Linked DNA regions of Arabidopsis thaliana. The protein of the gene in region 1 interacts with the protein of each later gene in a pairwise test. Each region holds a gene or a part of one and is shown in the gene's direction. Other genes may lie near its edges. The genes, in order: EIL2, HB24, HSFA9 and BBX17.

Region 1 (6,305 bases):
GTTGACATTTCTAAAGGATAACCAAAATAAAATAAAACGAAAGTATTACCTGTTTCATTACCCACACGTTGACCGTTATACAAACAGTTATAGATAATATATCATCATAATTAAAGGTCAACATTTCATGATTTATTAAGTAGTTTATATAACATTTTGCAATGAGAAACCCGACAATTTATAGTATGGCGCCAAGATTACGAAATCTCAAATACCTATCTTTTAATGGGAGAGTTTTAAAATCGAAAAACGAATATTTGATGAGAGTTTTATTTTATTTTTTGAGTCGTGCATTACAAATATCACTGTGAAAAATGTTGATCGATTTACATAAGAATCATAATCGTCCATTGGATATATAGACAATGTGATTTAGAAGGTTATATATTTGTTTGTCTAAAGAAAAAATAATATCTTCAATTATATGACACAGTTTACAATTCAGCATAGAAAACAATACAATAAGCTACAAAGGATTGTTTTAAATAGATTTTAAAACACCATATTATCATCTTTAAATTTTGGCTTCTTGAGATGGTCTGGATAAATAGAAAATTATTAAAATAAAAAACATTGTTAACTACTAATTTTATATTAAAAATACATTTATGGAATGCTTAAAGGAAAATGGGGAAATATATATAGACAGTAATACTAGAAACCAATCTGTTGGTCAAATATTTAGAGCCAGTATCCAAAGGGATTGAATGTATATTAGTATATATAAGATATCATAAATTCATAGAGAATACAAAATTCACAATTCTTAATACAAAATACTTACCTATATGAAACTTTTCAATTTTAATGCTATGAGCTTGTGCAATTTAAAAGGCTCTTATATCTAGCATATACTAATATAATGCAAAAACAAAAATGGTAAACTAAGTATTTTTATTCTATTCTAAAGAATGTCAAATTGTATGCTTTTAAATGTTTAAACAAAAATCATGGAAATTTGGTATTTTGTAAGAAATTGAAAGCGCCACAATTCTGAGCTATTTTAAGGAATTCTTCAATAATTTTGTTTTTTTAGCATTATCATATATGTATCAGAATTAATTAGTGAGTACTGGCAACATTTTTTCCCTTTTCTTTCATACTCTGCCAGCTTTTGTATTTAAAACTATGATATTTTTTTCTATATCATATTATGTGATTTGTTTACATTTTCAAAGCAAAATGTAATAATTTCTATATATTTTATGACAATGTGCATTTTTTACTTTATTTTTATTGGTTGGACTGTGATTAGATAAATCATAAAATATCTTTTGATTTAGTAAAATAAAGAAAATCATTAATTTCTTAATATGGAAAAATTTAAACGTTTTTATTTTGATACAAAGAGAGTAATTATTTTGTAAGTCTTTGGGCATGATAAGTTTTTAGTATTCAGGACTTGGTAGAACTACAAGAATCTCATTTAAATTCCATTGTAAAAACTAATTGATAAAACTAATACAAGTAAATTAGTATAAATAGGTTGTATTTTGTTTTTTTTAAAGTATAAATAGATCGTACGGAACTACTTACTGTTTTACTATTTGTTTATCTAGACCGATATATTTAGATACAGCTCCCCATGAAATTAAATGCATTAACAAATTTTAAAATTCAAACATACGCACCAATTAATTTAAAGCTATTATTTAAATATTTTATAAAAAAAAAATTACATGCTACGATTTTATACCATTAAAATAGTAAATTTACGTGCCTTAGAAAATGTCTATATTTGGTACTTGATTCCTATTTGTTTTCAAAAATACTCGCTTTATGTTTAGGGGTTATATTTTTCCCGCTTAAGCATACATCTACATTTGATATTTTTCTTATAGTAGACATGATTATATTTTTTATATTGATATTAATAATTTTAGGCTATCAAACAAAAAATAATTTAGGCAGAAATAACCATTTTATGGGCATGTTAATTTTTCTTTTTTTTAAAAGAAGTGACTATATATTTAAATAAAGAATCTGAACTAGAAATGGAATGAAACTCAAAGGAGATAAATAAGAAATTTTTACCATATCCTTACACAAAGAAATGTGTCGTTTAGCATGGTTTTTACAGGCCTATTATCACCACCCTTTCGCAGTCTCTTCTTATTTAATGCTCATAATATATATAGATACACAAACATACATACATACATGTCTCTATCTCTTCTCTCTCTCTGAAGGTCCCAATAGCTTCTTTGGTTTGAATTTGGTGGCCGAAGCAACACAAAGGTCTCAAGAGTTTTCTGGGTATATTCTCTTCTTCCTTCGATTTCTCTTTATTTTTGTTTTTGTTTTGTTTTGCTTTTACGTATATTGTCTGCTTGCAAATATTGTTTTTTGACTTGTTGGGTTTGGTCTATCTGATATTTTGTCCGATGGGTTCCATTTTCACTTTTGCAAGATCAAGTATTTCAGTAGTAATACGGACTGGATTGTTTTGTCGTTATATGCTTTGATAAGAATCAAAAGAAAGAAAAAGATCGATGCTTTTACTGTATAATCATTTGATGATAAACCATTAATCTTGTTTGTGATTTTCTTTTACCTTCTCTAAATATTTCTCCTATATTATGTACTTAATCTCTTTGGTAGTAGTTTTCCTATAGTATTTATTCAATCCCTTGGGAGTAATAACTAATGGAATTTGGATCTCTAAATCTTTGTGTTATTCATATGATGAATCTTATTTCACAAGTTAGATCTCTCGATCTTTCACTAAAAGTCTCTGTTTTTTTCTTTTGTGTTATGTTATTGCTAGAGAGTTTTAATTTAGATTTTGATAAATACGGCATTACTAAATGACGATGATTATGCAATTTTATTCTTAAAGTGAATCATAGTTGATGACATTATTTGCAGATTCTATGGATATGTATAACAACAATATAGGGATGTTCCGGAGTTTAGTTTGTAGCTCGGCGCCTCCATTTACAGAGGGACATATGTGTTCTGATTCGCATACGGCTTTGTGCGATGATCTGAGTAGTGATGAGGAAATGGAAATAGAGGAGCTTGAGAAGAAGATCTGGAGAGACAAGCAGCGTTTAAAGCGGCTCAAGGAAATGGCGAAGAACGGTCTAGGAACAAGATTGTTGTTGAAGCAGCAACATGATGATTTTCCAGAGCACTCTAGTAAGAGAACCATGTACAAGGCACAAGATGGGATCTTGAAGTACATGTCGAAGACAATGGAGCGATATAAAGCTCAAGGTTTTGTTTATGGGATTGTGTTAGAGAATGGGAAAACGGTAGCGGGATCTTCTGATAATCTCCGTGAATGGTGGAAAGACAAAGTGAGGTTTGATAGGAACGGCCCAGCTGCTATAATCAAGCACCAAAGGGATATCAATCTTTCTGATGGAAGTGATTCAGGGTCTGAGGTTGGGGATTCTACCGCACAGAAGTTGCTTGAGCTTCAAGATACTACTCTTGGAGCTCTGTTATCGGCTCTGTTTCCTCACTGCAACCCTCCTCAGAGGCGGTTTCCGTTGGAGAAAGGCGTGACACCGCCATGGTGGCCAACGGGGAAAGAAGATTGGTGGGATCAACTGTCTTTACCCGTTGATTTTCGAGGTGTTCCGCCACCTTACAAGAAGCCTCATGATCTCAAGAAGCTGTGGAAAATTGGTGTTTTGATTGGTGTAATCAGACATATGGCTTCTGACATTAGCAACATACCCAATCTCGTGAGACGGTCTAGAAGTTTGCAGGAGAAAATGACGTCAAGAGAAGGCGCTTTATGGCTCGCTGCTCTTTACCGAGAAAAGGCTATTGTTGATCAAATAGCCATGTCTAGAGAAAACAACAACACTTCTAACTTTCTTGTTCCTGCAACCGGTGGAGACCCAGATGTTTTGTTTCCTGAATCTACAGACTATGATGTTGAACTGATTGGTGGCACTCATCGGACCAATCAGCAGTATCCTGAATTTGAAAACAACTACAACTGTGTTTACAAGAGAAAGTTTGAAGAAGATTTTGGGATGCCAATGCATCCAACACTCCTAACATGTGAGAACAGTCTCTGTCCTTATAGCCAACCACATATGGGATTTCTTGACAGGAACTTAAGAGAGAATCACCAAATGACTTGTCCTTATAAAGTCACTTCCTTCTACCAACCAACTAAACCCTATGGTATGACGGGTTTAATGGTTCCTTGTCCGGATTATAACGGGATGCAGCAGCAGGTTCAGAGCTTTCAAGACCAGTTTAATCATCCCAACGATCTCTACAGACCAAAAGCTCCACAAAGAGGCAACGATGACTTGGTTGAGGATTTGAATCCTTCTCCTTCGACGCTGAATCAGAATCTTGGTTTAGTCTTACCTACTGACTTCAATGGAGGTGAGGAAACAGTAGGAACAGAGAACAATCTGCATAATCAAGGGCAAGAGTTGCCCACATCTTGGATTCAGTAAAGAAAGCTTCAGAGTTTTCTTTTTATGTTTTCTAGTCTTTATAGCTTTGTCTCTTGCTTATTCTCTCATTAAACACAGTTTTTGATCTCTCCATTTCATAGCCCATGTAGCAATGGAGAAGATTAGGTTTCATAATAAGTTAATAACCAAATTCAAAGTAATTCATTATGTGATTTGAAGAGCCTCTCTTTTTGACAAAAGAACAGTAGAAAATGCTTTATTTGTTTAGACTTTAGAGGTGTGTATTTGTGTTCGCCTTGGGCTTCAAGGAAGAAGGCGTTTGTAGACATTTTTAATATTAAATAATTTAAACTTTGTTGGTATGATAATATTTTTATTTATGTCTTTTTATTATGTCTTTTTATAGGGAATTGTTTTCTATAAATAACAGATTTTTTATGTGTTAAATTAATTTTGTGCCTTTAAAAGAGATTAATGGTTAAAAGATGTATTTCTATATAAATCTCAAATTGAAAAATCAAATAAACTAAGTTTGACGATATGCTATTTTAAAGTTAATATGAATAATTTCAGAAATATTTAAATGATATTTCGCATATTAAATTCATAAAATAAAACTATGTGAAGACCTTACTATATAAAACTATACCTTTTTCGGCAAATCAAATACTTATATTATAAAGAGTTTACAAGAAATATAAATATTTCCAATACAACCGTTGATACAAATAAAGAAAATCGAAACAATTGATTATAAAAGAAAAAAATTCAATGTATTGCTATAATTCACTATAATGATCATATTTACTTTTTTGAATCTAATGTTAAATTATATTCAAAAAAAAAATGTTCGTTGTACAATTTAGTGGTTCGTGAGTTTGAAAATAAATTTTAAAAAGATCTAAAAGAGTAAAAAAAAAAACGCTTGTAAAAGAGCAGCTTGGTTTGGTGACCTCAGGAGCTTAAACTCTAGCAAGGATCCATGCTTGATACGCTTTGTCGTACCGTCTATCTCCTCTTGTTCGAATGGTGGAAATATGAATACAAATTTGTTTATAAATCCATTTTGTGATAAGAGCCCCCGGATGTGGTTCCTTTTTGTGCCTTCTTCCATTCCTCTCCTTTCAAATTGTATAGACAGTGGTTTGTAGAGCATAGCGAGACAGATAGCTCTCCGCTCTACTTTGCTTTGGTTCGATACATAATCCAAGACTTGAGCCCAGTCGGTTCTGTACTGATTTTGAAGATGCCCTTTGTTATTGCCTCCCATATCGTCTCCCATATAATGATCACATCACTCATCTACAAATTTGTATTTATTCAAATGATCAAATCCTTACCGGTTTTTTCTTACCACTATTCCATTCCATGCTAGGATTGGCTGCATCCTCTCATTTCAGTCAAGTTAAGCTCTTTTGTCTATTACTTTATTTCATTCATTTTCTTCTTCAATATTTTTTTTTTTTTTTTTTTTTTTCTTCTTCAATTTTTTTTCTTGGCAAAAATGTTTTACATTGACCAATTTTTACATTCCGTATATTCTATTAAAACTTTCCATTCAAGGTTCCTCCAATTTCTTTCTCCATCTGTACTAATGGAAAATTTAATAGATAATCAACAAAATAATATATACTCATTAAATAATTGTTATTAAAAGAATCTCCAAAATGATATTTGGACGATATTCATGCAATCACGTCCTAATCTCCAAATATGCACTTTCTTTATCTTATAATAAAATGATTTACTCCAAATCCTTACTGTCACCAAATCAAAACCTTCATTTCATCTGCTTCGCATTATTTCTCTGATTCAAGAAAAATGACGGTCGAGAAACCACAAGAAATGACCGGCGATACAAACTCCGACGGATTCCTAACTAACAAAGACGTTCACAGAATAAAGCATCCATCG
Region 2 (5,564 bases), on another chromosome or scaffold:
TTAAAATTTATAAGTCTATTTTTAGATATAAATTTCTTGTTGTAATATATTGCTATAATCTAAAAAGGAAATTGGCCTCTATATGATGAGCTATGATTAGAAAATAACATGTTATTTATTTATTTTGTATGAAACATTTTGAACAAAAAGATTTTTAATCATTTTTTGAATGACAGAAGTCATTCCTATTATTTTCTTCAAAATTTATGTTCCTCCTTACTGTATTTTTTTGGTATTTTTTTGTCTGGTCCAATGTTCCTCCTTACTATTTTTTTTTATAAAAAGAATCACTAAATTACTCGACCAAATCATAAAATGTTATTAAATGAAACATAAAAAAATATGTTATATCAATAAAAATAATAATTTCTACTAATTGTAAAATAGATTATCATTACATATATATAAATATATAATCATATTAAATAGATATCAGTAATATACTTCAAAACAATTATACTTAAGTTTCAAATGAGGCTTTGTTTCCTTTATAATCCTCCCTTTTCAATTTATTAAGATTTTGTGTCTGTTTTTTTCACATTTAAAAAATGAAAGAAGCCTAAGTTTTATTTATTTTTCATAGGATGTTATGAATTTTTTTGTATAATGATAAATGTTATATTTAAAAAAGTACAATGATAGAATGATATATACTAGTTTCTTAGATGATAGTTGTAAACTTTAGAATATTATTATTTTCCTCTCTCCTAAACTTTGATTTTTTTTTCTTCTAAAAAAGGCATTATTAGAAATTAAGAATCTCAAAATGTTAGTAATTCTTTTTCTTCACGAAGTACTAGTATTGTTTATTGTAAAAAAAATCAAGTTAGATTTCCCCGAACGTGTGGCCGCGAGGAACAGCATATGGGATGAGATATGTCGCACATGAGAAATGCATATAGTTACATGTATCTAGACTGACCATTCAATTTAAATATAATTGTTCAACTAACTAAACAAATGATAATAATCCTGTATGTCATCAACGAATCATAATCATTATCCAGCACTAAAATCCTTTTTTTGTTCTTCTATCATGGTCTACTGATCTTTTGGCTCCATTTTGGAGAAATCAACCGTAACTAAAAGTATATATATATATATATATATATATATATATATATATATATATATCTTGGTTTGAAGATTTAGTTTTAGTTTTATATGTCAAGTAGAACATCATTCGTCCACTTTCTGTTCTTTTTTTTTGTTTTGATTTTATATTTATTCTTCTAAACCATAATTCTCATCCATTAGATACTTATTTTGAATATCTTAACAATAAATATTGTTATTTTAATGTAACTTACACTAAAATGAAAAATTTAATATTAAATATAAATTGACAAGTGGAAGAAAAGCCTATTAAGAATTTTTTTCATAAGTTTTTATATATTAAAAGTCCGGTAAAAGCTCTCCAGTTTTTCCCAAAAAAATAAAATGAAATAAAGCTCTCCAATGAGAATTGTGTAAGGATTGCATTATGAAACACAAATCCGGTCAAAACACTGTCGATTACTCCATTTTTTTTATTTATTGTATGTTTTCATAACTTTAAACATTAAGGGTGTGTACGGAAAAAAACATTAAGAATGTGATTGGTTACTCTAATTAGCGCAAAATAAAAGAGTTGAGAAAAAATTCTGCCCAAATCATCTTATTTTGGTTGTCTGAATTTTAAAAATCAGATCAAAGTAGATAAGAGACCATACCATATATTACAAATATTTCGACCAATTCGATTTTCGCTTATTTTACAAACAATATTTTGGTTATCTTATTTATTTTACAAAGTAAATGTTCATAAGGTATTCAATCTTTCATTTTATTTTACAAACAATATTTAATGCATGCACCATAATATGTTGCACTGATCGTACTAAACCTACTTACATCGCTAATTTTACGCTAAGCCACAGACACTAATCTCATCAACTATACTAATTGTTGACATTCGACTTAATTAACACAAGATAATTTTATCATTACTCAACATTAAAAACCAATAAAAGAAAGATGTATTGCGACCAATGTGCGGACACTGTATGATAGAGAAACAACGTGGCACTGTCTGCTACAAGTCCACATCTTACTTTCTCTCTCCATCTCTTGTTTCTTAGTGGACTGTGTTATTATTATTATTGGCACAGACCAAACCCACTTGGCTCCTTCATTAGATTTTTTTTCTCTCTCGGAAATTGATGGGCAATAGGAAACACGATTCTCTAATTCTCTCTCTAGAAGGACCAATAGTGTCTTCTTCTCTCCTCTTTTCTCTTTCTCCATTAGTAACGACCTAAACTTTATTTTCTTTTCTTGATCTCTTCTTAAATGGGGTTAGATAAGTTTTCCCCTTTAATTTAGTTGCTTGTAGACTTGAGATTAGTCTAGTAGGTTTTGGTGGGCTATCACTAATACAAAAGTCAAAGTCAAAATTTTTAAAAAGGTTTCAACTTTGGAAGAGATATTTATCATCTTCATTTTCTCTATAGGTTTATGAGAAGCTAAAGCTATGATGATTTCTTTAATCAAAATAGCTTAGGGTTTTGGAGAGAGATTACTAAGAAAGTTTTAATGTTTGTTTAAGAGAAAAGTTATATATTAGGGTTTTCTTTATTCAGAAGCTTCAAGATCAGAAAAGATGGAAGTTAGAGAGAAGAAAGATGAGAAAATGGAGATGACAAGAAGAAAATCATCAGCTCTAGATCATCATCGTCTTCCTCCGTACACTTACTCCCAAACCGCCAACAAAGAGAAACCCACCACCAAAAGAAACGGGTCGGACCCGGATCCGGATCCGGATCTTGATACTAACCCAATTTCTATATCTCATGCTCCAAGATCATACGCTAGGCCTCAAACTACTTCTCCGGGGAAGGCAAGGTATAGAGAATGCCAAAAGAATCACGCGGCGAGCTCCGGTGGACACGTTGTCGACGGTTGCGGCGAGTTTATGTCTTCCGGGGAAGAAGGCACGGTGGAGTCTCTTCTTTGTGCAGCTTGTGATTGCCACCGGAGCTTCCATAGAAAAGAGATCGATGGTTTGTTTGTTGTCAATTTCAATAGCTTTGGCCATTCACAGAGACCACTCGGAAGCCGCCACGTGTCTCCGATAATGATGAGTTTTGGTGGTGGTGGTGGTTGTGCGGCGGAGTCATCGACGGAGGATCTAAACAAGTTTCATCAATCTTTTAGTGGTTATGGAGTGGATCAGTTTCATCATTATCAACCCAAGAAACGGTTTAGGACAAAGTTTAATGAAGAACAGAAGGAGAAGATGATGGAGTTTGCTGAGAAGATTGGTTGGAGAATGACAAAACTAGAAGATGATGAAGTGAATCGGTTTTGTCGTGAGATTAAAGTTAAAAGACAAGTGTTTAAAGTTTGGATGCACAACAATAAACAAGCAGCAAAGAAGAAGGATTTGTAAGAGATTTCTATATATATATATATACTATTTTTACTTCTCTTTGTTCAACATTGCTTTAACTTAAAGACTTTGTGTTTATTGTATAACAAATTGATTTTAGAGCTCAGCATAACGGTCTCTTATTTCTCCCGCAACTTGAGAAGCCTTTTTCTTTGCGGTTTCATAAGCATATTTTGTGGATTCTTTGGCTACACCGTACTTTTCGCCGACTTTTTCCATGGCTTCTTCAAATCCTCTAGTTGCTCCATCTTTGGCATTGTGTGATTTGTCTTTCATGTAGTCAATAGAATCATCCATTGCTTCTCCTGCCGTGTCTTTGGCACTCTTTGACTTTTCTTTGGCTCCTTCATAGGCTTCACCGCTCTTATCCGTTGCCATCCTAATCACATCACCGGCCTTGTCGTATCCGTAACCCGCCTTGTCATATGCAAAGTCTTTTGCATCTTGGGCCTTTTCGTAAGCTATGTCTTTTGCATTGCCAGCCTTCTTGTAGGCGTAGTCTTTGGCCTCACCAGCTTTCTCATAACCAGAATCCTTTGCCTTCTGCGCACTGCCATAAGCAGATCCCACCTTATCATAGGCCATGTCCTTGGCATTGCCCGCCTTATCATAGGCCATATCCTTGGCAATGCCAGCCTTCTCATAAGCCACGTCCTTTGCATCCCCCGCTTTATCATATGCCATGTCTTTTACTATGCCTGCCTTCTCATAGGCCATGTCCTTGGCATCACCGGCCTTATCATAACCAGAGTCCATCATACTCTGTGCACTTCCGTAAGCAGATCCCACTTTATCATATGTGAAATCCTTTATGTGTTCCGCCTTCTCGTAGGCCATGTCCTTCGCATTTCCCGCCTTCTCATATGCCATATCCTTTGCATTGCCTGCCTTATCATAGGCAACATCCTTCGCGTAGCCTCCCTTATCATAGGCGAAATCCTTTGCATATCCCGCTGTCTCGTAGGCCATGTCCTTAGCATTGCCTGCCTTATCATAGGCGAAATCTTTGGCATGGCCCGCTTTCTCATAAGCCATGTCCTTTGCATCACCAGCCTTGTCATATGCAAAATCCTTAGCATAGCCCGCATTTTCGTATGCCATGTTCTTTGCATCACCAGCCTTGTCATAAGCGAAATCCTTTGCGTACTCTGCCTTGTTCTCAGCAAAATCCTTGGCGTAACCTGCATTGTCGTAAGCAGAGTCCTTGACGTAATTTGCCTTGTCATAAGCATAGTTTTCCGCGGCTTGAGCCGCTTTTCTTGCTTCATCTTTAGATTTTTGATAAATTCCTGTTTCTTCTTTCTTAGTACCAAATCCACTGGGAAAAGAAGTAAAACGTTACCTCTCAATCACTCACTTAACTACGGCCAAATACATGCGTAAATATCCAATGTAGTGAACGAATCTAAAGATTCCAATAAAAAACGCAATAAGACATTACTAATCTCACTAAACACGTACTTAACATCCAAATGAGAGAAAGTATAGACTGAATTGGATCAACGTGATGGTTACGTAAAGGACAGATTCAACCACAGGTGTGTTTCAGTTTCGGATATTAGATATCACTTACGTGGTGATTTTGTCGGAGACCCAACCAGCCCATGAACCGGTCTTTTCCTTCGCCGTCGACTCTAACCATTTCCCCAATACACCCTCTTGCCACGTCAACACCACCACTACCACAAACAATACCAATGCCGTTCTTCTTCTCTCCATCATCTCTTTAACCAGTGATTCCGAATCAAACTTCTTTGAATTTGCTATGACCAATTTAGTTTTGTCCCTTTTTAAAAAGTTTTGATCCTAGTTCCAATGTCCTCGGAAGTTATAGTTATAGAGAGACGTTCGAATCCAAAGACCAGAGGTCTTTCCGAGAAGCGGTTACTGTTCGCCACGTGTTTGCACGAGGTTACGTGGCAACCAAGGATGCGGTTTGGTTGTGGAGCTTTCTCTGAGTATTCACCACGTGTCCTATTATACGGCTGGCCGTGTTCCCCTCAGAGACCACACTTTGAAACTTGAAAGCAATAAGATTAGAGAGGTCACATCACATGTGTCTGAAGCGGTTTGTATAACCGGGAAACCTACGATAAAAATTGGACCAAATTCCAGCTAACCGAAATTGAACCGG
Region 3 (5,902 bases), about 15 Mb from region 1:
GAAAGAGTTTGTAACCGAAGTTAAGATCATTAGCAAACTGCGTCATCGAAACCTGGTGCAGCCCATTGTGTTGGTGTAATGAAAAAGATGAGTATTTGCTTATATAGGAGTTCATGCCGAATGGTAGCTTGGACACTCACCTCTTTGAGAAAAGACCCCTTATCTCACCTAGGACACACAGATCTTCACGGAGAGGGAGATCGGTGTGTGTTGCATAGGGACATCAAGGCAAGCAATATCATGTTGGACATCAATTTCAATGTAAAAGTAGGTGACTTTGGGCTGGCTCGATTGATGGACCATGAACTAGGCTCACATACAATAGCGCTAGCAGGAAATTACATAATTGTCAAAGACTTTTGTCTGTGTGTGGACATGTGTAGGGCAAGTGAACCACGTTTTATTGAAATTCAAATTCAAGATAATCCAATCAAGTTTGACAAAAGAGAAACAAAAAGATAGGGCAAAAAAAGCCAGCACTTAACTAGGATATGAAATCCAAAACATAAATAGTCAAAAACAGAAAAGAAGATAGGTGCAAGCGAGCTACACTGGAATCATTAATGGAAGTACTGAATACTGAAAATTCAAAACAACGAACTTGTTGTCCAAGTGACTCCAGTAGAGTTTCAGAACATCGCCTTCTGAGAGATCTAACGAATGCTTCATAGTACTCCAACCAGTACCGAAATAATATTTAGGTTTATCGATACCTGATACTTTGAGCGTAACTGTGTATAAGTCGTCTTCCATTATGTCGTCGACTTGCACTTCAACACCGTTTAGCAAATCTTGGTCGTTAACATTCATCCTCGTGAGGACAGACATCACTTCTGCTTTCGGTAATACCACATTACCAACGATATCACTCTTTGATAGCACTTTTGTTATGATCATAGCCGGTTCCAATGGATCGTTGTAATTCATCTTGCTTAATTTTTTTTATATTTCTTACGTTCTCTATTCAAACATATATATAGGAGATTTAGCCTAAGAAAAAAGGTAAAATACAAAAGAGAAAAAATCAGAACTCTTTTTGAAACAAATTAGAAAATTGTCTAAATATCTAGATTTCTCTTAATATGGAATTGGAAAGTAAACTTTTTGCAAAATATTAGATTTAGATAACTTTCACTTGGTAAATTGAGAATAAAGTTTTGTGCAAATTATTGATTTAGATCATTTCCATTTCTATTCTCAATCTCTTTTTGAGCGTTCCAACCAATTACATTGCTGCCCCGAACCAATATAATATTTACAATAGTATCATAGCCGGCTCCAATGGATCGTTGTAATCCATTATGGACCGCCCAACTTCAGCCCACAAAAGAAATTGTCCACACGAAAACGCTCAATAATCTATAAACGGACCATTTGACATATTTAAGTGTTTTGCAAGCCCAAAGTAATCATATTCACTCAACAAAAAGTATAAAAAATCTGAAATTTAATTTAGGTCGTTGCTAAGCTTGTTGTAGGGTACGTACGTTTGGGAGCATTTTAATTAGAATAAGATTAGAAATTTAGAATAGTTTTAATCCTCCGAAACTTTTTGTAGTACGGACTTTTGGGAGCATTTTTATGAGTCGTGCCAATCTTGCAAAAGGACCCATGCAGAGCAACAAATTTGGTTGTGGCATGTCGGTTAGGTAGCCCAAAAGCTTCATTTTATATTAGTTATAAACTTTGCTGTTATATAGTTAGTAAAGTTTAGTCAGTAAAGTAGACTGTTACTTCTTTTAGTACTTTGAATACATCTTATTTACTACAATGTTAACAGTCAACATGGTATAAATTCTATTCCATGTTTTGTTTCAAAGGTTGACATAACGGACGAATTTTAAAATGTAACTATTGTAATAAACAGTAATGAGTATTAACTTGAGTTACTCTATACAATTGTTTGTTTCTTGTGATAACCAAAGCCATCACAATCAAACATTTCACTCTTAAAACAAGGAAACAGTAAGTGCAATGGAAGGTAGGATCCAAGTGCTTCTCTCGCAACGATTGTTTGGTTGATTCTCGTAAAAATGTGAGTATATGAAAGAGGAAGTTAGACCGATGCAATGGTTGCAATGTGAGCATAGTCGAATTTCACCTGCCATGGTGTTTCTTCCTTTTTCATCTTCCCACCGGATTCACTCAAGGCTCGTCGTTTAATCCATTATCGCCTATGTAACCGTCGCTTCTTCACCTGCGGCCACAACCAATGCAACCGCTATAACAAGTTTGTTTTTGATCTCTTTATCGACCATTAAGTCTCTTTATATATTCCTTAAAACTCTATATTGCATTTTGATTTTCTAGTGCGTATAACATTGACGTTACAGTAAAAATTTCTAGTTTTAATATTCACAAGCATGGCTGCTATTTCAATTCAATATAAGTTTTATCATCGTCTACAATAATATATGAATTTTATCATCATATAGAAGAATAACAGAGCTCTGATCACAGACTCACAGCCCTGTAACTCTAGCTAACAAAATTATCTTTTAACTCTCTTCTTTATTAAAAAAAAAGCACTTGCATAGTAGCATTTTAACTGATGTATATGCTTTCCCTAAGCGACACTTGTCCTCATGCATGAAATCAAATTCAATGGACGACCGATTCATCTTGACCGACCACAAAGATCCAACGGCTAGCTGGAGATATACAGGTGTTAATAAATTGTTATATTCCAAAAAAATGGGTTATAATGTGGCAGCTTTTTGATAGTAACACTGATGTATTTCTTACAATAAACGACCAAAAAGTTAATACAAGAAATAGAAACGGTGTAGGAAGCTACTATGACGGCAATTCCAAACGTCGTCGATATTGAATCTTCTTCCTCTTCGCTTTGTCAAGAGACGGCAACGGAGACCGTCACCGTTGAAAGAGGCTCGTCTGATTCATCTTCAAAGCCAGACGACGTCGTTTTACTAATCAAGGAAGAGGAGGATGACGCCGTTAACTTGTCACTTGGTTTTTGGAAATTGCACGAGATAGGTTTAATAACACCGTTCTTGAGAAAGACGTTTGAGATCGTCGATGACAAAGTAACAGACCCGGTTGTATCATGGAGCCCGACCCGTAAAAGCTTTATCATTTGGGATTCTTACGAGTTCTCAGAGAATCTACTTCCCAAATACTTCAAGCACAAGAACTTCTCCAGTTTTATTCGTCAGCTTAACTCTTACGTAAGCACAGAACAAGTTTTTACTCTTTAGCTATGTTTCTTGCTTTACAAGCTTTGTAAAAACTAGAGTTTTTTTGTAGGGTTTTAAAAAGGTCGATTCAGATAGGTGGGAATTTGCTAACGAAGGGTTTCAAGGAGGGAAGAAACATTTGCTTAAGAACATCAAGAGGAGAAGCAAAAACACTAAATGTTGTAACAAGGAAGCGAGTACCACCACGACAGAGACTGAGGTTGAGTCATTGAAGGAGGAACAGAGTCCAATGAGATTGGAGATGTTGAAGCTGAAACAACAACAAGAAGAATCTCAACATCAGATGGTCACTGTGCAGGAGAAGATCCACGGAGTTGATACCGAACAACAGCATATGCTTAGTTTCTTTGCAAAGTTGGCTAAAGATCAAAGATTTGTAGAGAGACTGGTGAAGAAGAGAAAGATGAAAATACAGAGAGAGCTAGAAGCAGCTGAATTCGTGAAGAAGCTCAAGTTGCTTCAGGATCAAGAAACTCAAAAGAACTTGTTAGATGTAGAAAGAGAATTTATGGCCATGGCTGCAACAGAACACAATCCCGAGCCTGACATTTTGGTGAACAATCAAAGCGGGAATACGAGATGTCAGCTTAACTCAGAGGACCTACTTGTTGACGGTGGCTCAATGGATGTAAATGGGAGGATAGAGATAGAGTAGAGCAAAACCGGTAACATAGCAATAGAGAAGGTACCAAATCCCAAGGCTTGAGATCCGAATCCGTAGCGCTTTGTTGTATGGTTTCATGTGTATATAAGCGAAAGGGACTTGTAAAAAGCGACTCAAGGACTTGTAAAAAAGTGTAGCTCTAGTGAAAAGGGACTTGTAAAAAAGTGTAGCTCTGGTTAACTGTTGCCATCGCCTTCCATTACTAATAATTTTTTAACTAGCGAGTAGTGACTTGTAGCATAAAATAGAAGAAATTCATTCAAAGTTTTGAGGGTGAAAAAATAAAAGAACCTGTCAGACCGCCGTGCGACCACCCCGGCAAGGTAGAACCGAGCCGAGTAACGATCCTCTACAGCACCGGATGCGTCCGAGGACGATCGTAGCCGTCAATCACGCTCTAGCCGCACGGTCATGGTTCATCAACCAGGGTTAAGGGCCTGTCTCTTGAGAAATCAAGGAAACAGAGGTACGAGCCTATAGAACAGATCCTGTTCAAGTAAGGTCGTGACCAATGGTGCTTTGTAGCCATATATAAAGCAGTTATTTCTTCACTCGCTTACCGATGTGGGACGCAAAATTCGTAAGAAAAAAGAAATCATAAGCTTATGGGCCTAATTGTATACAAAACCCATATATGTTCAAGCCCAATAGTTAGAGATTATGGTTTTGTTAGGAAAAAGAGTTTTAAATTCAGACGTCATTTCTTCTTCCTCTTTGATCAGTATGCCACGTCATCATCATTCCTCCACGTTATTAAATATATGTATCGATCATCGTCTCTCTCTTTAACAAGCTCCTCTCTCTGATGTGAAGAAGCCATGGAAGAGAAGAAGAAGGAGCTTGAAGAGTTGAAGTATCAATCAGGTTTTGGTAACCACTTCTCATCGGAAGCAATCGCCGGAGCTTTACCGTTAGATCAGAACAGTCCTCTTCTTTGTCCTTACGGTCTTTACGCCGAACAGATCTCCGGTACTTCTTTCACTTCTCCTCGCAAGCTCAATCAAAGAAGGTACATCATCATTTCAATTGTAAGTTTTGGATAATTTCGTTGAATTGATTGATCTTCATCTTGTTTTTTTTTTCAGTTGGTTGTACCGGGTTAAACCATCGGTTACACATGAACCGTTCAAGCCTCGTGTACCAGCTCATAAGAAGCTTGTGAGTGAGTTTGATGCATCAAATAGTCGTACGAATCCGACTCAGCTTCGGTGGAGACCTGAGGATATTCCTGATTCGGAGATTGATTTCGTTGATGGGTTATTTACCATTTGTGGAGCTGGAAGCTCGTTTCTTCGCCATGGCTTCGCTATTCACATGTAAAAAACTCTTCTTTTTATTTTGGTATCTTTGGTGTAGATCAGTGATACATAAAGTAATGATCTTTTGTATTCATTTTGTTTTGAAGGTATGTGGCTAACACAGGAATGAAAGACTCCGCATTTTGCAACGCTGATGGTGACTTCTTGTTAGTTCCTCAAACAGGAAGTAAGTTAGTAGTCCCAATGCCTTACCTTACCACATCTTTGGGAAATAAAGTCAGTCATGTATTGAGAATGGATTCAAGATAGTCTTGGATCAGTTCTGATAGTTTGAGTGGGTGTTTTAGGGCTATGGATTGAAACTGAGTGTGGAAGGCTTTTGGTAACTCCTGGTGAGATTGCTGTTATACCACAAGGTTTCCGTTTCTCCATAGATTTACCGGATGGGAAGTCTCGTGGTTATGTTGCTGAAATCTATGGGGCTCATTTTCAGCTTCCTGATCTTGGACCAATAGGTACTCTTGAGTTCTTTTAGATTCAGCCGGAATAACATGGATTCTCCGCAAGAATCTTATTGGTGGATGTGGACAGGTGCTAATGGTCTTGCTGCATCAAGAGATTTTCTTGCACCAACAGCATGGTTTGAGGATGGATTGCGGCCTGAATACACAATTGTTCAGAAGTTTGGCGGTGAACTCTTTACTGCTAAACAAGATTTCTCTCCATTCAATGTGGTTGCCTGGCATGGCAATTACGTGCCT
Region 4 (6,724 bases), on another chromosome or scaffold:
GAAGCAGAGAAACCAGGAAGCTTGGAGGAAGAAGAAGAAGATGAGAGGTTAAAAGAGGAGTTAGAAAAGATAGAAGAACGGTTCAGAGAAGAGATGAAAGAGATAACGAGGAAAAGAGAAGAAGCAACAATGGAGACCAAAAATAGATTTTTCGAGAAGAAGATGCAACAAGTTGAGTAAAGTAAACAACAGAGCAACACTCTGGTTTTGGATTCCTCTGTTTTGCTTTTCTGTTTTTCCATGTTTTATTATTTTAGTTTTGGTCAAAGAGAAAAAAGCTTTTGTTGTTTACTTGTTTCATTGCAAGTGTAGAAAGTTTCCTCCATAAAAAAAATAGAAAGTATTTTCTAATGGTAATTGGGATTTACATTATATAAAGCACTAATTGCTGAGATAAAACCATTCATCAGGTATATATGTAAAACTATTCTCGAGATAAAACAAGAAAGTGAATACACAATTTTCTTGCCTCTATTCATAAGAAATAAACCTGTTTTCATTGTGTTTATTTAACACCAAAAGCACTCAAAATTGAGGCTTAACATTCAGACAAACCGTAACTATAGAACATAAGAAAAACCTAACTATTGAAGAGGTTGCATTATATCACAAGTTTAAAACACCAAAGCTCAAGCTGAGTAGCAAAAATAGGTCTCTTCTTCCGCCACCAAAACCTCAACAGGAACGTCTACAAAAGCCTTGACCGCCACAACGACCACCGGAAAAACGACCACCGACGAAAAGACCACGACCACCACCAGGACCAAAGACAGGAGTACCAAAACGGCTATAAGGTTCCTCATCAGAAGATGATCCATCCACAGACATGCTCTCTGCCTGGGCTTTACAGAGCCAATTTTAACTTCATTATTTGACCTAAACAATGAGATCAACAGATCCATCTTCTCTTCCATTTTATGAAGACGAATACCAAATCCTTCCAACATCTCCATCGCATCAGATATTTTCATCTCAGTCGTCATGTCTTTCTTATCTTTCTCCAAATTGTCTGTAGGCGTCGTGTCCTTAATCACAGAAGGAGATGCTTCAGCTTTGGTTGCGGATTTATTGTCCATGGAGAAGATGATTAGTAGAACAACGCACTAGAGCTAGGTTAAAAGAGAGAAATTGGAGATCGGCAAAAACCCCTAATCAGCTGCTTAGGAAGAAAGGTATTTATAAGAGTCTTTTATATTCTGGCTTGGGGCACAAGAGTCCTTTCCTTTTATTTTATTTACTTTTCCCGTTGTTCATTTTTTCAACTAAGCAAGCTTTATCTGGGCCGAGGTGAGGCCCATTAATTGAATTAAAAGCCCAAAATAACAACAAAACATTACCTGATTGTCGGAAAATCAGACGGAAACAAAAGAAATCAAAAATCCGATGGGGAGGAAGAAGGGATTGCCGGAGTTCGAAGAGTCGGCGCCGGATGGATTCGATCCTGAGAATCCGTACAAGGATCCGGTTGCGATGGTGGAGATGAGAGAACACATTGTTCGTGAGAAATGGATCCATATCGAGAAGGCTAAGATCTTACGTGAGAAGGTCAAATGGTGTTACCGCGTCGAAGGCGTTAACCATTACCAGAAGTGTCGTCATCTTGTTCAGCAGTATCTCGATGCCACTCGCGGCGTTGGTTGGGGCAAAGACCACCGTCCTATCTCTCTTCACGGTGAGTTTTTTTCCCGGCGTTCTCTCTCACACTGGTGAAAATGCTTAGATTGAAATTCTTAGGGTTTCGTGTTTTTTTCCTTAGCCTTTGAATTTTGAATTCAGTTACTCTTTAGTGTGTTTGATTGAATTTGATTTGAATTTGATGTAGAGTGGTCTCAAAATTCTTCATGAATACCTTTGTGAAATTGATTCTTCCTTTAGATATATGTATTGAATTTTTTTTGTTTGTATTGATTTTGTCAAACCAGGTCCTAAGCCAGTAGCTGTTGAAGAAGCTGAATGATGTTGTGTGCGTGATTGATCTTTGGTAAGTAACTGGTGTTGATTAGTTATATAGTGTGTATTGCTTAGAAGAGGAGAAAGGTTAGACTTTCTAGCATGCTTTGTGTAGACACTATCTTATAACTGGACATGTTATGTGAATCTGTTTGTGGTAGGAGAAAATTGGAATATGGATGTTTGGATAGTTATATGTATGAACTGATCAGGTCTTAGAGTGACTTAGTTTTGCGGAAGTTGTGGATACACTGGTTAATTATTGATATCAATCTGACTGCAATCACAAAGGTTAAAGCTTAGTCATGGACTTTCTTCGGTGGTTTTAGAAACAGGACATGTTTTGGAATGTATAGAAATGAAATTGATAGATCTTGGAGTGACTCAATTTTGGAGACATATGGGCCGATATTATAGATACCAATCCGCTTGCAATTGCGTCCATCTTTAATCTGCAACAGAGCTAAACCTAGTCACAGAATTTCATTGATGAATTAATTATTTGAGATATGAGATGTTGTGGACTGTATGAAGAAGGATAGAGCTCCAACATTTAGGTTTTGATTGGTTTAAACAATAGTTCCAATAGGGTTAAGGCATATAGTCAAAATCTCAAGTTCAAATTGGATTGATGATTTTTGTATTTGGTTCAAAGATTTTAAAGGTTTTTTCTTGCTCCAATGACACAGGTGAGTGAGAGCTTTGATTACCATACATGAATGGAGTCTCTGTTGCAAGTTAATGCTCCACATCAAGGTTGTTACTTGATTTATGCTTTTCTGTTTCGTAAAACATATATTACTAATTGGACTTGGGAGTTCCAATTGGTTAAGCTCAGCTTCGTTTTTCAAATGATTTATATATATTTTTGGCTTGTTGTACATTGCGTCCCTGTTTGTCGAAATAATGAAATTCCCAAGTACCTTTTTGCATGCTTGCAACTTAGTATATGTTTTTAAGACTTTATCTGATAAAACTAAGAAAGAGTTAACTCTAAAAACATCATACTTTCCCTTTATTTCAAAACTGTAGGAACATCTTTACTTCTTTAGTGTTGTCTAAATGGATTCATTTCTGAAATAGTTCATGAAATTTTTATTAACCTTTAAGTAGTAGTTCAAACATCTACGGAGTCTATTACCATATGTTAAATGGTGACAAAGACAGGTAAGGACCACAGACAAAATGAGTCAGAAAACAAAAGACTAACAAACAAAAAGATAAAACTTAGAGATGGGTAAGGAAAAGAAGCCATAAAAGACCCAAAAACATAATCCAAGTCTAACCAATAAGATCGCAAAGATATGGATCAACTTCGGTACATGATGCCAAATCATCACTACAGTGTCTTTTTTCCTTGTACAACCCAACCAAAAATGGGTATGGCCAAACTTCAATAATACACCAAGTGTTTACTCATCTCAAATTTTACTACCTTTTCTTAAGACTAATCTACTCTATATAAGTATGTTCACTAACCCTTAATGTTAAGATTCAAGAATATTAAACATGTATAGAACAAGACTCAAGGAAACTTGAGCTAAAAAGTCATTTCTAGTCCCTACTGACATAAGAAAGAAGTGTCAGTGAAAAAATCTTCTAGATTCTAAAGGAAAATGTCTTTGTCTGATCCCAACGAAAAAGATTATTATATACCTACCTAAGCAGGCTCCTTTGTCAGTGCCCATTATTCTCCATCCCTCTTAGCCCTTGTCTTCTTCATTGTCCCCTTTTTCTCACTTTAAGATCTTTCTTGTTCTTAGCCCATGACAAGTCACCAAAATATCAAAATTTCAGAAAGTATATAACCATTACTCTACTGTTTCCTGATAAACCTCCTTTTGTGCCAGTTTCTTCTTCTACTTTGATTTCTTCTCATATCTCTGTTTTCATGTTTTGCGCAGAAATTATGATTTCAAAGTACCAAGAAGATGTCAAGCAGCCACGAGCTTGCGAACTTTGTCTGAACAAACACGCAGTTTGGTACTGTGCCTCCGATGATGCTTTCTTGTGCCATGTTTGTGATGAATCAGTGCATTCTGCAAACCATGTAGCGACAAAACACGAGAGAGTTTGTCTTAGAACAAACGAGATATCGAATGATGTGCGTGGGGGAACAACATTAACCTCGGTTTGGCACAGCGGGTTTCGAAGAAAAGCAAGAACTCCTAGATCTCGGTATGAGAAAAAGCCACAACAAAAGATAGATGATGAGAGAAGAAGGGAAGATCCTCGTGTTCCCGAGATTGGAGGCGAAGTGATGTTTTTCATACCAGAAGCAAATGATGATGATATGACTTCTCTTGTGCCAGAGTTTGAGGGATTCACAGAGATGGGATTCTTCTTGAGCAACCACAATGGTACTGAAGAAACAACGAAACAATTCAACTTTGAAGAAGAAGCTGACACAATGGAGGATCTATATTACAATGGAGAAGAAGAAGATAAAACTGATGGAGCTGAAGCATGTCCTGGACAATATTTGATGAGCTGCAAGAAAGATTACGACAATGTCATAACGGTTTCAGAAAAGACAGAAGAAATTGAAGATTGTTATGAGAATAATGCAAGGCATAGACTGAATTACGAAAATGTTATAGCAGCTTGGGATAAACAAGAATCTCCTAGAGATGTAAAAAACAACACAAGTAGCTTCCAGCTAGTTCCTCCAGTAAGCGCCTAATCTTCCGAGTTCTTACAAAAATGATATTATATTGTTTCAAATTGAGAAAATTGAACCCAATCTATCAAAGAAACTTATTGTAATGGTTGTTGATTGCAGGGGATAGAGGAGAAGAGAGTAAGAAGTGAGAGAGAAGCTAGAGTTTGGAGATACAGAGATAAAAGGAAGAATCGTTTGTTCGAGAAGAAGATAAGGTACGAGGTTAGAAAGGTTAACGCCGACAAAAGGCCGAGAATGAAAGGTCGATTTGTCCGACGATCTTTAGCCATCGACTCTTAGGGAACAGATTCTCTCAGTTTCTTCTCCTTTGTGCCAAATAAAAAAAAGGCTACTCCAAAGAAACCAGAAGCTAATCAAAAGAACAAAAAAGCTCATGTGGAACATATTTCGTAGCTTTTGAATTTATCCCTACAATGACATGGTTACAACTTTATTCTTAAATCAATTTGAGAATTTAAATTTCATACTAGTAAAAGCTTCTCTTATGAGGTAAATCTCTTTATATAAGCAGTTAGTTACAAAAACCAAAACGAATTACAAACAACTTGTAACTCAAAGATTTGTAGTTTTGTACTAATACCGTTGGCCGTGTCAAGAAAGTATTCATAAAAACTTATCGATCCAATCAGTAGTACCATTAAACCAACTAAAATCATCATCCTCTGGATCTCCTAATAATCCAAGATCATCCATAGGAAAATCTTCTAACTTAAAATCATCTATCAACGGATCAAAATCAAGTAAATCATCGACGAATAAGTCCCCATTGGTCGATACGATTTTGGCATGTTGATTAACTTTAGTGTGATCCCCAATCTTAAATCCAAATGTTTTCTCCTTTCCTACTCTATCATTCTCCACAAAATCAAACTTGAAATCATCTACAATGGAAATAAATTCCACTGAATTGTAATCCACCCAAATATCATTTGCTTCAACAGCCGAATCACCAAAAATATCAGCAATTGACGATGTCATCAACGGATCTTCCAACATTTTACTAATCACTCCCTCTTCTTCATGATCAGCGTTATAACCACAACCAAATGGCTTCTGATCAGTAACAATTCTCTTATTTACCTTTTTGCAATTCGACTTCTCAGTAACTTCCTTCTCTTCTGGTTTACGTACACCGCACGGCTTGGTCAAATCTACTAGGTCTTTTTCCTGTTTAACTAAACCCAATCGTTCATCAAACTCTCTTTTACTCTTTTGGTAAGCTTCTGCTGCTTCTTCTTCAGTAGGAAACGTTCCAAGCCACTTTCTCTTCTTCTCAAACGGATTTCTTATCTCCGCCGCAAATTTCCCCCACGGCCTCCGTCGTACGCCTTTGAAACCCGACGACGTTTTCCGGTTTCCGGCTGCTTTATTCCCTGTAGAATTCGAAACGTTCTCATACCTTTTGATCAGCGTCGGGACACAGATCTTTGAGACGTAACGTTTCGGTGGTTTTGGTTTGATCTGACGGCGAGGATTATTGCCGGAGATAGATTCATCGTCGCTAGAGGAATCGGTGGCGTCTGGATCATTACAGATTACACTAATTGTTTTAATCAAGTTGAGATCGATGTTCTCTTCTCTGAAACTGATCATTGTTCTCTCTCCGACTAAACTCCGGTACTAAGTAACAGAATCTTACAATAAAAACCAAAAAAAAAACAATGTAGTGTTTTGAGTTGGTGATAGAGATAGAGATTAAAAACCTAAACATGGGAGAAAAACTTGAACAGAAAACATAGTTAAGATTCATCATCGTACCTTGTTATGGAGAGTGTGTCAAAAATAAAATTCAAGGAGCTTATGGCAAAGCTAAGGAAGACGAAACATAGAAGACGTTATTAATAGTTTATGAGAATTGTTTTGTTTTCCTTTTTAATTTTTGTTTAGATATAATCATAAAAGTAAAATCTGTAGTAAATATTAACGAGGATATCGGTAACTACCATATCTAAATTTACCATTTTTTTTTTTTTGTGATAGAAAAAGAAAGTTAATATTTTAGTAGGAAAAAATGGAAAATTGGGAATTCTCTGATGATATATTATAGTTCTTTTTTTCTTTGGTCCTAAAACTTCAATTGATATCACACTC

Evidence for each region.
Region 2: the proteins of EIL2 (region 1) and HB24 interact in a two-hybrid assay, tested with the Arabidopsis thaliana proteins (one large-scale study listed by BioGRID).
Region 3: the proteins of EIL2 (region 1) and HSFA9 interact in a two-hybrid assay, tested with the Arabidopsis thaliana proteins (one large-scale study listed by BioGRID).
Region 4: the proteins of EIL2 (region 1) and BBX17 interact in a two-hybrid assay, tested with the Arabidopsis thaliana proteins (one large-scale study listed by BioGRID).

Annotation. Positions count from the first base shown.
Region 1 is NC_003076.8:7,179,756-7,186,060, forward strand, and holds EIL2 (ETHYLENE-INSENSITIVE3-like 2), read left to right. Parts: upstream 1-2,833; 5' UTR 2,834-2,852; coding exon 2,853-4,430; 3' UTR 4,431-4,587; downstream 4,588-6,305. Other genes in the region: AT5G21125 (uncharacterized protein), read right to left, coding at 5,293-5,673; AT5G21130 (Late embryogenesis abundant (LEA) hydroxyproline-rich glycoprotein family), read left to right, coding at 6,213-6,305. UniProt on the Arabidopsis thaliana protein: Probable transcription factor acting as a positive regulator in the ethylene response pathway. Could bind the primary ethylene response element present in the ETHYLENE-RESPONSE-FACTOR1 promoter.
Region 2 is NC_003071.7:7,968,988-7,974,551, reverse strand, and holds HB24 (homeobox protein 24), read left to right. Parts: upstream 1-2,470; 5' UTR 2,471-2,641; coding exon 2,642-3,430; 3' UTR 3,431-3,526; downstream 3,527-5,564. Other genes in the region: AT2G18340 (late embryogenesis abundant domain-containing protein / LEA domain-containing protein), read right to left, coding at 3,527-4,748, 5,004-5,152. UniProt on the Arabidopsis thaliana protein: Putative transcription factor.
Region 3 is NC_003076.8:21,941,220-21,947,121, forward strand, and holds HSFA9 (heat shock transcription factor A9), read left to right. Parts: upstream 1-2,763; 5' UTR 2,764-2,798; coding exon 2,799-3,188; intron 3,189-3,267; coding exon 3,268-3,873; 3' UTR 3,874-4,205; exon of another isoform or gene 4,206-4,283; 3' UTR 4,284-4,432; downstream 4,433-5,902. Other genes in the region: AT5G54067 (B3 domain protein), read right to left, coding at 547-927; HGO (homogentisate 1,2-dioxygenase), read left to right, coding at 4,701-4,891, 4,968-5,198, 5,288-5,367, 5,489-5,656, 5,733-5,902.
Region 4 is NC_003070.9:18,172,929-18,179,652, reverse strand, and holds BBX17 (B-box type zinc finger protein with CCT domain-containing protein), read left to right. Parts: upstream 1-3,263; 5' UTR 3,264-3,716; coding exon 3,717-3,750; exon of another isoform or gene 3,751-3,841; coding exon of another isoform or gene 3,842-3,854; coding exon 3,855-4,621; intron 4,622-4,732; coding exon 4,733-4,912; 3' UTR 4,913-5,236; downstream 5,237-6,724. Other genes in the region: WNK7 (Protein kinase superfamily protein), read left to right, coding at 1-180; AT1G49150 (uncharacterized protein), read right to left, coding at 630-1,076; AT1G49140 (NADH dehydrogenase ubiquinone 1 beta subcomplex subunit 10-B-like protein (Complex I subunit NDUFS6)), read left to right, coding at 1,384-1,672, 1,923-1,957; CRF9 (Integrase-type DNA-binding superfamily protein), read right to left, coding at 5,237-6,226.